3 linked regions of the Nothobranchius furzeri genome follow. The protein of the gene in region 3 interacts with the protein of the main gene of each other region in a biochemical or structural test. Links are inferred from orthologs where the notes say so. Each region holds a gene or a part of one and is shown on either strand. Other genes may lie near its edges.

Region 1 (4,640 bases), on a different chromosome or scaffold from region 3:
GAAGTACACAATGACGTTAGATGGTACATTATGATGTCACAATATCGTTGCTCAGATCTTTTTCTGTTTGAGACTTAAAGAGGAAGTCACCCCCATATGATAAATATGACTTAGCTATCTCATAATTATGAGATACTAAGTCATAATAATGATAAATGACCCGCACTTGTATAGCGCTTCTCAGAGTAAGGACTTCAAAGCGCTTTACACTACAGTGTATCATTCATCCATTCAGACGCACATTCATACACTGGTGGTGATGAGCTACGATGTAGCCACAGCTGCCCTGGGGCGCACTGACAGAGGCGAGGCTGCCGAGCACAGGCGCCACCGGACCCTCCGACCACCACCAGCAGGCAACGTGGGTTATGTGTCTTGCCCAAGGACACAACAGCAGAATTCTCTGTCCGGAGCCGGGATCAAACCGGCAACCTTCCGATTACTGGACAACCAGTAATGACAGTTAACTCGTAATTATGAGATACTAAGTCATCATAATGAGATAGTATCTCATAATAATGAGATAGTATTGCAAGATAGTATCTCATTATTATGAGATAGCTAAGTCATGATTACGAGATAATAATTTTTTTTCTGAGTGGCGGGTATGGGCTTCCATACAATCTGCAGCTTCATCCTCAGCTAAATTTTCCTGTGACAGCAGATGTTTCAGTGACACTTCCATCTAAAGACACAATCGTCCTCTAGATCAAAGTGGAGTCAATATCACTGTCGTCTGAAGCTAATGATGTCTGAGCTTCAATTCATCCCAAACATTCCTGTGAAGCCAACAGAACTCAAATGTCATCATCAGAAGTAAGGAAATATCATCGTCAGTATTGCCTGAAGCGGGTGATGTTTCCGCTCTATCCTCACCGAATCCATCCAGTGAAAATAACGAATTTGTTTGTTAGTTCCAACTTTCTTTTAAGCGCAATAAATCCTGGGGCTCACTCTCAGCACAAAGCAGCAACTCCAGAACATTGTATTCCTCTCCAAACAAATCTAACAAATCATCACCCTTCTCTGAAGCTAGCACCCCAGCATCATCAGAAACAAAAGTCCCATGTGATGTCAGAAACATGTTGACACTTCCATCTAAAGAAAAACAGGTGAAAGTTGTGTCCTCTTGATCAAACAGATGTATACCACCTTGGTTGTCATCAGAAACTAGTGATGGGCAAAATGGGAGGGGCGCAGACGTGCTCGTGCAGAACGCAGTGGTAGGAAGGTGATTTTGGGGTTGATGACGTCAAAGTGAAGCAACTGTGTAACTCAATCTTCTGTTCCACCAAATATCAGAATGGAAATTAATAAAAAACATTAGAAAAACATAAAAACACTAATAGAAAAAATAACAAAAATGTGGCGGTTTTTTTCATAAACATCAACTATGCATGTCTGTGATAAAGACTACATTCTCCATAATGCTTTGCGCACACGTCTCTGGTTACGTGCTGTCGCAGCGAAGGAGACATTGCACTGTTCTGTCGTGCAGCCGGCCTCGGCGTTAGTGAGAGGTAAGTTTGTGGTACTTGTTTGAAACGAGTCTTGCTACAAATTAGTGAAACAAAGCTTAAGTGAAAACAAAAGTCAGTCGTTTCGTCAGACACATAAACAACTAACGACAGGATCGACAGTTTTACTGGCAGCTCCTCTCAGTTTAGGAAGGCTAGTGTCGGGCACGCCTATGTGAGGGGTTAGCTGCTCCGGGGGCTCCAGGGCTGTTTGCGCGGGCCCGCATGAGGCGTCGGTATTCACAGGGGTTGGGTATTTTTAGCATGATCCTGCTGCGAACACCAGCCGGTCACTCAACACCTGGAAAATACATGTTCCCGAAGTCTAGCATTGGCTGGAAGCTACAAGGTTTGGGCCACCAACAAGTCAGCTCACAAGCTAGCAGCGGCGAGCAGATCTTGTACCGACACCGGCTGAAAGAGGTTTACTGTCTTATTTGCCTCATTTCCACGTTCCTACTCTTGTGTTAACCTTAGTTTCCTCTGCACTGGTATACTCATGTCCCGTCGGTAACCGCAATAGTTAGTAATGCTAACGTTTAGCGCGCCCGCTCACTGCTCCAGTGTCAACCATGTCGTTATGGGAGTCACGTGACCTGTTATGTCGGCGGAAACCGGGAGTAGTATTTATTTATAAAATCTCAGTATTATAATATGATTCAGGAACTATTTCACTTACGTGGAGTTGAAAGGGTCAACGTATTTTTTATTATTTATTAATGTTATCACGTTTTAAAAGTGTGTTTTTAGTTTACCACTATAGTGATAAAAACAACTAGTAATAGTAATAATACGAAATGTTAACACGAATTTCAAAACATAACAGGTGTTAATCATATACATTATAATTACTGTAAAAACAAGCAGAGTTCATCATATGTGGGCAGACACATAAGCTGATCTTATACTAAAAATCCCTTATGATCCTTTTACACTGAAGAATATTAACATACATACATTCTGTGGGTTTAAGTTTCAGGCATACAGTTCTGTTGCCGTGTCCTGGTGCGTTCTGTGTGTTGACCCTCTCTGTTTTATCTCTGCAGCGTGTGTTCGAGGGTGATTCAGGATGGCGGAGCAGCCTCTGTGGGAGCAGATAGGATCCAGCTTCGTGCGGCATTACTATCAGATGTTTGATTCTGACAGATCACAGCTTGGATCCATATATGTAGGTGGAACGTGACTTCTTCTCGGCTTCCTCTGATGACCTTTTTCTAGAAGCCTAATTTTGTTCCTGTTTGTTGTAGCTTTTTTTATTTTTAGTGATCTTAGCATTTTTGGAAATGTTCAGGAAAACAAATCTTTTTCTATTCGGGTCTAATAAGTAATATGATATTTACTGACAATATTTCGATGAAATTTGTAAATCTAATTAAATACTGATTGTAGTGTTAGTTTTTCTCCATCATGAGAAATGTGAAGTGGCTTCATGTGTAGATTATTTTCTGCCATTTAATTCTTTTTTTTTTTAATTTAATTATTTATTTATTTGTTTTTTACATCTGTCACTTCACAGATTGATACGTCATGCCTTACGTGGGAAGGACAGCCCTACCAGGGAAAAATAGCAATTGTCGAGAAACTCACTGTGAGTATTGCTGGTTGCTATGCAGAGGTGAAGTGTGGTTAATGTGTGATAGAAACTGTGTTCTGGTGAAGAACATCAGGACATTAAGGATTTTGTTTGGAGCTTGTTAGGATATAATAAAAATACATTATGATGTTTAAATAACAGGTGTTTGAAATCTTGAAGGGAATGACAATGAGCTGAGTCATTTCAGTGCAATAAAAACTGGGCGATATGGCCTCAAATCTATATTGCGATATAATCTGAAGCATGTGCGGTATCGTTATATATTGCGATATATTTTTTTCCTCTGTTTATATATGTCAAAATGACATGCTTTTAAATATCCTCATGTGGCAAATATACCGTAATTTCCAGACTATAGAGCGCACCTCAATAGAAGCCGCACCAACAACAAAAAAGGTTTTCTACACACACATGCTGCACTCAAATACAAGCCGCGGCGCAGCAGCCACATGCAGGTCTCCGGCGCACAGCGCATGTACGGCCATAACATAAGATAGTTAGACAGAAAGACGCTACACGGAGGTTTTTCGTTGTTGTTTTAATTCAACAAAACAAATTTTAAACACGGGTGAACGTGCCTGCAAGTTTATAAAATAAAAACAGCACTGACACATTATTACCGGTAATTTGCATGTTTAGAAGGAAAGAACAGCTGACAGCATTAATAAGCCCCGGATGATTAGAAAATAAAAACTGCACACAAAACATGCCTGGTTAGTAAATAAAACACACTTGAATACCAGAAAAAGTCATTCTCTCATCTTCCTCTTGCGCACTAAAGCCATTAAAGTCCTCTTCTTCAGTGTCGGAGTTGAACAGCCTCAGAAGAGCTTCGTCACATACCTTTTCTGTGGTGATGTCAGTGTCGCTGTCATCATCCCCGGGTGAAGCTGGCTTGGATGAGTTCTTCCCGCTGCCGTCTCCAGCGCCGAACCACGGATTCATTCATGCCAAGCTTACGTGCGGCAGCGCTGTTTCCCTCCTTTACTGCCAGATCGATGGCCTTCAATTTAAATGTGGCAACATATGAACTCATACGTGTAGTTACCATGATGAGGGGGTATGGATTTGAAAATAATTCTCCGTCGTGCCAGCTGCTTGCATGTGCTAAATTAAAAGGAGCACTTTCTTCTATTTCCACTTTTGACTTCCACCTGTTTCACTTTCTGCTAAAGCGCCCCCTGCAGGTGAAGGAAAATCTTCAGTAAAGCCGCACCTCATTATAAGCTGCATGGTTCAAAGTGTGGAGAAAAAGTAGTGGCTTATAGTCCGGAAAATACGGTATGCCACTTGAGGCATATAGGCCTCCTCCCCCGCCCACTCCATGCTTGCAATCACTGCCATTCTGTTGTCTCAATGTCAGCAGGGTGCAAATCTTATTGACGTCATGAGTTATCGCGGTATTTCGATATGTAGGGATGGGTACCTTTGACATTTGAATTGATTCCAGGGCTTCCCTTACATAGGCTTAGCCGTGGCGGCCCGCCACGGCTGAAATCCCACCGCCACGCCTACAAGATCCCAAGTGT
Region 2 (4,739 bases), on a different chromosome or scaffold from region 3:
TGACTCATCTAAAAGGATTGACCTTAAGAAACTGGGTGTGTCGTAAATGTAAAAATTTAAAAAGAAAGAAAAATGAAAAAGATCTACGACCTTAGTGGGAAATAAAAACATACAAAAACAAGTAAGTGACATAGGGTGTAAAAAAGGGAGTCTAAGCAAAAGCAAACACCACATCTATGGTAACATACCTTGGCCTCCTCCAAACGCCCAAGAGCTTTGAGCAAATTACCCAAGTCACTCCGCACACAATAGAGATCCTGGAACAAAAGAAAAAATCATTTACCTTCTACTTATTATCCCACAGAACTACTCTGTCAACAATCATTTACCGGGTTGTACTGTAAAGCAGACACATAAGCCTGTACTGCTCCCTCCATGTCCCCCGCGGCCACCAGTGCTGCTGCCAGGTTTATGTATCCATCAATAAAGTCTGGCTTCAGCCTCAGAGCGTGGCGGTAATGCTCGATGGCCTCCTGCAACTGACCGCGCTCCTTGTACACATTCCCCAGATTGGAGTAGGCCTCAGCAAGCATTGGGTTCTGCTTGATGGCCAAGGTGCTGAAGTGAGCGGACCTGCAGGGCAGAAACAGGAGCAAACCGTAAAAACCCAGGAGCCCAGAGGCAACAGTTACTATCATTTACTGCTAGAGGCGACAGAAACGTGTAGAAAGGTTGAAGGAAGAGAATAAGTGCAATATTATTACATTTATAACAAAACATCAAACTTAAAACTTCCAATTTATAGTTTAACCCTCCGTTTGGGAATTAAGGATGAAGCAACACTTAAACCACAGCACCCGAAGAACAAAGCCATGTTGGACTTTGGGGGGGGGGACCTCATTAAACTAAATTTCCCACAGAGTTCAGATGTTTAACTTGATCTCCCAGCTCAGATGAGTGCGACCTCAAACCCAGAAGCCCAATACAGTTCTGCCATCTCCACACCACATTCTGCTTAAAGCCTTTCCCATTACACCTCACCTGTCAAGTCTTCGACACTGGAAGTGAATGGAAGACAGAAGCAAAAGCACGCCTGTGTTATCAGGCTCCTGCCTCCACAGCTGCATGCAGTGACGCTCAGCTGCCTCAAAATCCCCTGACTGGTACTCGCGGTGCGCCAGCTCCGCCAACCCTTGGAAGGAAAGCATACGTTTTGTTGGTTCTGGAGCACCAACATGAGCCAAGGAGGGGGGGGAAAACGACATGTTAGAGGTGATGGAATAAATGAAAGACAAATGAAAAACAAACAGATGGCAAAGCTTTCAATAAAGAACAATTTTAACTCAACAGAAAATGGAGCAACAAACAAAATCAAAGGGTCACAAAATCAAAGGTGATATAATAGAAAATGTTTGGAAACCATCATTTTTAAAACATTGTTGTATTCGATAACATTATAATTCAAATCTTAAGAGTGATTTGTGAGTTGAATAGCTGTAATGAACTGCTCCTTTATGAAACTTTGTCTTTTATTTTAAAATTACTGTCGGCAAAATAAAACGTAATGCTGACTGAATCAATTTAGTGTTGAATTAATCAAATAATTTCATTTTAATCTGTTTTATTGTGCTTAGAGATTATTAAGCACAAAAATAACAATCCAATATTAATGCAAATATATTTTATCACTCACAGAACAAAAAAGAAAATTGATAAGATGAATAAACAAGCGGGTAAGGGAATGACACAGAGGGAGATGTTCTAGAATCCTGTTGGCATTCTGGAGTCCAGGCATTACAAAGGATCTTCATCACATATGCATTACCATTATTAACCATATTTGCTTAGAGGAAATAGGGAGTGGCAGAGAACATGTGGAGGAAAATCACATGATTACATTTTAAAAAGACAGAGATCATTTTTGGAAAAGTTCCTCCACCCAAACAAACTTAGATCAATGCCTTTAGAGTCCAGAAATCAAACGAAAGATTGTTGTAACTCAGGTTTCTAAGGAAAGGTGTGGCCAAATGTATTTACAAAGACATTTCAACACTGCTCATCTGATCTGGCCAAGCCAGACTTTTAACATGTTTTTTTAAATTACATCTGAATATGTCTCTAATTTAAATGATGCTGGTCAAAAACAATCATGTTAGAACTTGCCAGTAGCAGTCAGCTGATAAAACTTTACATGAAACCAACTAACACACGTATTTAATAACTATTTAGTTTTGCTTCAAAGACCATACTTTTTGTTCTCACAGTTCTTGCCCTGGAGATTATTTCCTGTGGCAAAGGTGGTTTAATAAAGAAATACTTTTTTTCAGTTGTCCAAACGCATATCTAATTTACACTGCAATCAGATCTTACAATTCCACATCACCTAAATAAAAACCCCATGGAGACCAATATACATAAAAAGTTAATTGTATTATAGCCAGAATACCAGCAGCAGAAATCGTCATGGTTTAGTTTCCTTCCCTTCACAGTTATGTAACCACGCTCCTAAACGTGAGAAAAGGACTGATTTATTTCATACAACGTCCCACTCATTATTACTCAGCTGGAATGCAGTTTTGGGAGGAAACCTCAGCTTTCTCTGCGGCATCGGTGCGGTCTGCACGGACTGGGTCAGCAGGACTCTCCGCCATGCCGGATCGGTTTCTTTAAAAAATAACTTGACGCTAATATAAAACACAGTACCCCAACCTCATCGCAGTATCCTATTTACACGCTATCAAAATAAAATAAATGTACACGTAATCCGTGTAATATGCAGTTTAGCACCACGTTAAGGGGCAATGACACGCGCAGACCCGGCGCATTTGGTTTAATTGTGCGACACTTTCCTATACAAACAGCTGTTACTTAGTGTAGGCCTAAAGCCTTCGTATAACATGTGTAACCATGTTCATTTTTAATTATGATCATTTTTACAGTTAATAATCGCTTCCTCGCGTTAGCAGGAAATGCTATTTTACAAGCTAGCTCCATTAGTTAGCAATATAAGCAGCCTACCTGTGCTGTCGGCCACATTTCCAACTGAGCTCGCCATCTCCTCGGTCTTCGTGTCTTGTGCGGTGGTCGTCAACGTGTCTTCTGAAAAATAACAGCCCCAGGAAAAAAACGGTTCTGTCTCGTATTCTCGGTGCTTGAAAGTTAGCCCGCTGCCCGTCGAGTTAGCAATGCTAGCTTACTTAGCTTTCTAAAAATCCGATTAAAACACCTTCGCAGTGTTTTTTGTTTATTAGAAGATTAACTAACCGGTCAAATCACGCTGTTGCTATAACTAAATATCACAGAAATTCTATTGTTCACTGTAAGAGTCTACCTGGCTGTCTTCCTGCTCCCAACAAAGCAGCGGAACATGAAATGGCGAAATGAGGGGAACTCGTTTTTCATGAGAGAGAAACTAGGTCCCTCTGGCAGTTTTTTGATTAAATATGCGTACAGTTTTAATATGCGTATTTCATTACGAAATAGTGCGGAAACCCCAAAATTTCAACTATGTGCCATACATTTAGCAATACAAATGTGGGTATCAATACTATCTAGCGGAGGGATCTCACTGCGCAGTGAGACAAAGGACGAATGCTGTGAGCTGAGCCGGTGCACGACTAGAACATGGCGTTCAGGCTGCTAATTTATTTTTCACTGTTTGCTTAATGAAACCGGGATCCACGCGGTGTTCATCATCACATCTCAGCAGAGCAGAAGACATCTCATGCTAATGTGTTAACCCTTTTTCATTGGATCAACACATTTTCCACACCAAAGAAGTCATTCAAGTAGAACTCAATTGTTTTTGGGTAACCAAACAGAAATCACCTTTTCCTAACAATTCGAAACTCCATACATCAGTAAGAAGTCCATGAAGCACCCATTTGACACTCGTTTACACAAATTAAATGAAATCACATTAGCTATCATCCGGCAGGCCTGTAGGTGCCAACATGGATGGAGAAAGTCTATAGGAGGATCTTTGTTGGCAAGAAAACACACAATATGGCCTGCTGTGACAGCAGTGCTGTCAATACACGACGTACACTTCCATTAGAGCTTGTGGGCAAAATCTTCAATATGTAAACATTTTTAACGTCTAAAGACAGGAGGAGGTTTAGAGAGAAGCAATTGTTTTAAGTGTTTAAAGCTCTTGCTTGAAAGACCATTAAAAGATCTGACCACTTTTTGATCTCAGTTCTTGCCCAGGAGATTCTTTTCTGTGGCAAAGGTGGTTTAAAGAAACCTGTAAACTCTGTATGTCTTGGATGGGAGCTCTTTGTCCACTAATGTTCACACTCTGAATCATTCCAAAAAAGGCCATTTTTCTCCTTTACCGCTATCAGATTTTACGTCATTGCTTCCAGTGAACAAAATATTCATGAAACATGCAAGACAAAACACTCTAAATACAACGAACAGACACACGAAAACAGCAGCAAGCTCAAAAAACGGTCTAGAATCAGCTGTGGTTGACCCCATTTACCCAACACAAATCAGCGGTGTCCATTATTTGCATTGTTTAATTATCAAAGCAGCTTATATTTGAGCTGATATTATTGCAGATGTATAGATGATTCTACTCTTCAGGAGATTGCCAGACACCCCCTACCCAGTCATGGACTCCTTTTGCTTCCTTGGGACCATCATCACCCATGAACTCAAGTGGGAGATGTCCATCAGCCCAGCTCCCTCATCTGGAAATCCCAGCAGAGGATGGTTTTTCTGCAACAACTGGGAAACTGCATGCCAACTACGATGATGGTTTTATACGGCCATCGCCTCCTCCATCCCTGTGT
Region 3 (4,471 bases):
ACCACCAGTAAAGAAGGCACCTCCCGTGTATTCTTGCTTAGCTAGCTAAACAGCTAACAAACGAAGAACAGACACCTCGGTAGCACATGATGATTGGAACACGCCTTGGCGGTACCTGATTACGTATCTCCTAGGCAACCGGGGCAGGACCAAGACATCAAGAAACACCGAAGAGTTTGAGATAAAACTGGGTGTTAATTGGCAAGTATCTAGCAATATAATATGTTGCTATACAGGAGAGACGATACGATATATTGAGATACTAAAAGGCTGACTATTTTTGCAATTTTTAAGTGAATTTAACTGGGAAAACTCAGACAATTCCAGTGTTTTCGCAAGATATCGGTCTGTCAGACTGAAGGAGGAAGAAACTGCTGCCACCTAGCTGTCAGTGTTTGATCTGCACCACACAAAAGAAATACAAGAAATGTTGGCATGTAAATTCTCAATAATAGATACTCTGCTTTTAAATATCGATTCTGTATCATAAACCGAAATGTTGTGATATTTCAGTGCATTGAATTATTTTTACATCCCTAGAGTGTTATATGAATACATCTCACCAAAATCCAGAAACTGCTTCATTGAAAGAGGGGAAGGAGAAAATCTGGAGTAATAATCGATATCCTTCCCTACTGACACGCTGTTCCTCAGAAACCTCAGAAGCCTCATGTTGACCGGGTTTACTAGTTATTCGGAGGAAGCAGGTGGCTTCCGAGCCACACTTAGTGTTATTTAACGACACTAGCTCGTTGAGCAAACCCAGCAGCTCGCAAACACGCTGTTAAATTTATTATTGTTCAGTTACGTTGCTAATTGATGCAGGTTCAGCATCCATAACTACGGCCGCGCTGCAATGTTTGTGTATCGTCCGGTGTGTACTTCAAGTGATCGCTGCTAAATCCACCGAAGCAGAAAAGTCAACAAGCTAATTCAAAGAGTTACTACAAAGTTCAAGAGGATTCATCGTTGTTGCCTGGCGTATACCGACACGAAGTTCTGTTGAAAGGCTGTATTTAAAATTATTGTCAATATTGACGGTAAATTGCGAAAATAAAGACGTATAAATGCACGATAATGTCCTAAATAATGTCTTTTATTCACGTGTGTATGAAAGAAGAAGAGTTGATAGTGCTCGTTATTCTGTAACTATCTTGCCTTTGCATACTCTTTGTAAAGGCCAAACTATATATTTTTCCGAATGTTTGTCTATCAGGCAGTCAAATGAGCCTATCATGTACCTCAAATCTAATCATAACTCTGATTGGATAAAACAGTTGCCAAATAAATTAATAGGCGGAATTATGTCCCTGCAGACAAAATTCAGGGCATACGAGAATGCCGCGTCTCGGGTGTCGTCACTTCCTTTAGGTGGCCAGATAATTGCCTGTTAAAGGAAATGTCGGTTCACAGGCCCACGTTTTTAGCAATGTGTTATTGATTTTGGCTCTATATTCCTCGGAAGGTAACGTTGATTAGCGTGTGATTTCATTCATTTCCTGCGTATCTGTGCAAAGTTACTTAAATAGACGCAGTGGGGATTTTAGGAACTTCAGTCGGAGGAGTTGGTCATAGCGACCCGCCAAAAGCCACAAGATTCGGCAAGGAAGTGGCCGTTTTAAACGACACGTAACGGCTGTGTTTAACTTCTTGTGAGGATAATGAGTGGCGGATTCAACTTCGGACAGAATGCAGGGTTCGCCTTTGGAGCGCAGAAGACCACTGCCGCTGCCCCCAACGCGGGTTTTACATTAACCAGCTCAGCAGCTCCGGGAGGGGGGTTCGCCTTTGGAAATGCCAACCAGACCAACCCCACCGCCTCTTTCAGCTTTGGCACCCCAGCCAAGAGTTCCGCAGGCGGCACGGGGTTGTCTTTTAGCACGCCTACTGCCTCGTTTGCTCTTGCTACCCCTCAGACAACACCGGCAGCAACAGGGTTGAGTCTGGGCTCTGCAGCAACTCCGGCTGCCGGGTCAGGGTTCACCTTAGGCAGCCTGCTAACCTCGCAGCCCCCAGCTGCTGCACCAGCAGTAGCAACAGTGGCACCAAGCGGGGGAGGATTCACCTTCGGTGCTCCCACACAAGTCCAGCCTCAGTCAGTGGTAGCACCCACAGCCACGACAGCAGCAAGTGGCATGTCCATTGGAGGGTTCAGTTTTGGTGCTCCCAAAGTCCAGGTGACCTCAGCTGCAGCCCCCACTGCTGCCACAGGAGCGGGATTCAGCTTTGGAACCCCTGCAACCACCGCCTCTGCAGCTCCAACCACCCAGGGTGGAGGTTTTAACTTTGGGATTAAACCTTCATCAACCCCAGCCCCTACAGCAACCACCCAGGTGGCTCCGACTCCAGGCCCTACTCTGTTTGCGACACCCATAACCACCACCGCCGCCACTACAGCAGCAGCTCCAGGATTCATGTTTGGTGCAGCTCCAATTTCGGCTCCACTTTCATCGGTGAGCACTGCAACCACCACAGCAGCTGGAGGGGGCTTATCCTTCCCACTCAAACCTCTGAGTTCAGCAACCACCACCTCTGCTCCGGCCTCCATCCTAACTGCAGCCGCCACCACAGGCACAGCTACGGGCTTCATACTGGGACTCAAAACTACATCCACCACAAGCACAACCACAACAGCCACAACAATCGGCACCACCACCACCACTGCTCCTCCTGTGATGACCTATGCCCAGCTGGAGAGCCTCATAAACAAGTGGAGTCTTGAGCTGGAGGACCAAGAAAGACATTTCTTACAGCAAGCGACTCAGGTGAATGCCTGGGACCGCATGCTGGTGGAGAACGGAGAGAAGATCACATCCCTGCACAAGGAGCTGGAGAAGGTGAAGCTGGACCAGAGGAGGCTGAACCAGGAGCTGGACTTCATCCTGTCCCAGCAGAAGGAGCTGGAGGACCTGCTGTGTCCGCTGGAGGAGTCCGTGAAGGAGCAGAGCGGAACCATCTACATGCAGAATGCCGATGAGGAGCGTGAGAGAACATACAAGCTCGCTGAGAACGTAGACGCACAGCTGAAGAGGATGTCTCAGGACCTGAAGGAGATAATTGAGCACCTGAACACATCCAGCGGCCCAGCTGACTCCAGTGACCCAGTAAGATCAGATCTAAGTCATCCTTAAACCTGTCATTATGATGTTTGCCTTTTTCATTCATCTCTTTCTCTCTGTTTTAGCTCCAGCAGATTTGTAAAATTCTCAACGCCCACATGGATTCGCTGCAGTGGATCGACCAGAACTCGGTTCTCCTGCAGAGAAGAGTGGAAGAAGTGTCTAAACTCTGCGACACCCAACGCAAGGAGCAGGAGAAGAGCTTTCGTTTAACCTTTGACTGATCTGTTGATGAGTTTAACTCTGCATAAACATTATGCTCTTTTGTTTGGATTTACTCATTTCACTTTCTGTTTTGGTTTTATTAAGATAAATATTTTCTCAATAGTTCTTTATAAAGTTAATTGATCATATTAAATGTTCTGGGTAGTGTGATTAAATAAAACAATTGCAGTGGATCTCATTCAGCCTGATGTGGTGTGTCATGACTCTAATTCTCACATCTAATCTGAAACATGAAAGATCTACCAGACTTTTTGAGTTGAAATAATCTAAATTACTTAATCATTTTAGAGCTTTAACTGTAATTTGTCTCAGTAATGATCTACAAGCTGCTTAATTCTACCTGAGCCCTAGATTAGATGTAAAAACACAAGGAGGCGGGTGCAAGAAATGATAAATGACCCGCACTTGTATAGCACCTCTCAGAGTAAGGACTCCAAAGCACTTTACACTACAGTGTATCATTCATCCATTCACACACTGATGGTGATGAGCTACGATGTAGCCACAGCTGCCCTGGGGCGCACTGACAAGCAGAAGCATTGGTTTTCTTAACAGCTCCAGATAAGGTAGTAGAACATGTTGGCCAACCTCACAGGTATGTTGCAAAACACTTTGAGATTTTCATTCTAATACAATGTTAAAAAATACAATTCACCATTTCTACAGTAAAAAATTCCCAGGAAATTAAACAGCCATGTCACAAATATAAAAATGGACTACAGTTTGTCCTAATTTGCAGAATCTGCTAAAAATAAGAGCTTCATTGTCATCCGCTGCTTCCCACCCAAAGCATCGAGATTGATTGTTCCATCATAGGCTGGTAATGTCTGCAGAATCCACGAATGGGGAAACATGAAAACAGTTATCCGTGCTCTGTAAACAATAAAAAATGTTAAGTCTTGCAGGGAATTTACACTTGTTATGCTTTTTTTATTTTTTAGCATCAGAACAAACAAAAGCATCTGAAGAGTTTGAAATGCATTAAAATCAGACAGTTTCTGTACAAAGACTTCATCACTAAACTGTTTCAATGGAATTAAAAATTGTCTTTCGTCATACAATATCAGGGGCGGTTCTAGACCAAGTTTTCCAGGGGGGCCACAGTGGGGCCAGTATTTTTTCATGGG

Evidence for each region. The genes of interacting proteins can lie anywhere in the genome.
Region 1: the proteins of nup62l (region 3) and nutf2 form a complex in vitro, tested with the Homo sapiens proteins (3 studies listed by BioGRID). The link is inferred for Nothobranchius furzeri from reciprocal best matches to the Homo sapiens genes NUP62 and NUTF2.
Region 2: of the proteins of nup62l (region 3) and ogt.1, one has a biochemical effect on the other in vitro, tested with the Homo sapiens proteins (2 studies listed by BioGRID). The link is inferred for Nothobranchius furzeri from reciprocal best matches to the Homo sapiens genes NUP62 and OGT.

Annotation. Positions count from the first base shown.
Region 1 is NC_091744.1:83,049,206-83,053,845, forward strand, and holds the start of nutf2 (nuclear transport factor 2), read left to right. Parts: upstream 1-1,429; 5' UTR 1,430-1,520; intron 1,521-1,814; exon of another isoform or gene 1,815-1,940; intron 1,941-2,563; 5' UTR 2,564-2,586; coding exon 2,587-2,685; intron 2,686-3,033; coding exon 3,034-3,105; intron 3,106-4,640. UniProt on the Homo sapiens protein: Mediates the import of GDP-bound RAN from the cytoplasm into the nucleus which is essential for the function of RAN in cargo receptor-mediated nucleocytoplasmic transport.
Region 2 is NC_091741.1:100,471,885-100,476,623, reverse strand, and holds the start of ogt.1 (UDP-N-acetylglucosamine--peptide N-acetylglucosaminyltransferase 110 kDa subunit), read right to left. Parts: upstream 3,212-4,739; 5' UTR 2,996-3,211; coding exon 2,959-2,995; intron 1,163-2,958; coding exon 982-1,162; intron 574-981; coding exon 330-573; intron 258-329; coding exon 189-257; intron 1-188. UniProt on the Homo sapiens protein: Catalyzes the transfer of a single N-acetylglucosamine from UDP-GlcNAc to a serine or threonine residue in cytoplasmic and nuclear proteins resulting in their modification with a beta-linked N-acetylglucosamine (O-GlcNAc).
Region 3 is NC_091754.1:20,876,201-20,880,671, reverse strand, and holds nup62l (nucleoporin 62 like), read left to right. Parts: upstream 1-1,470; 5' UTR 1,471-1,661; coding exon 1,662-3,104; intron 3,105-3,184; coding exon 3,185-3,343; 3' UTR 3,344-3,522; downstream 3,523-4,471. Other genes in the region: pdk1 (pyruvate dehydrogenase (acetyl-transferring) kinase isozyme 1, mitochondrial), read right to left, coding at 564-672. UniProt on the Homo sapiens protein: Essential component of the nuclear pore complex. The N-terminal is probably involved in nucleocytoplasmic transport.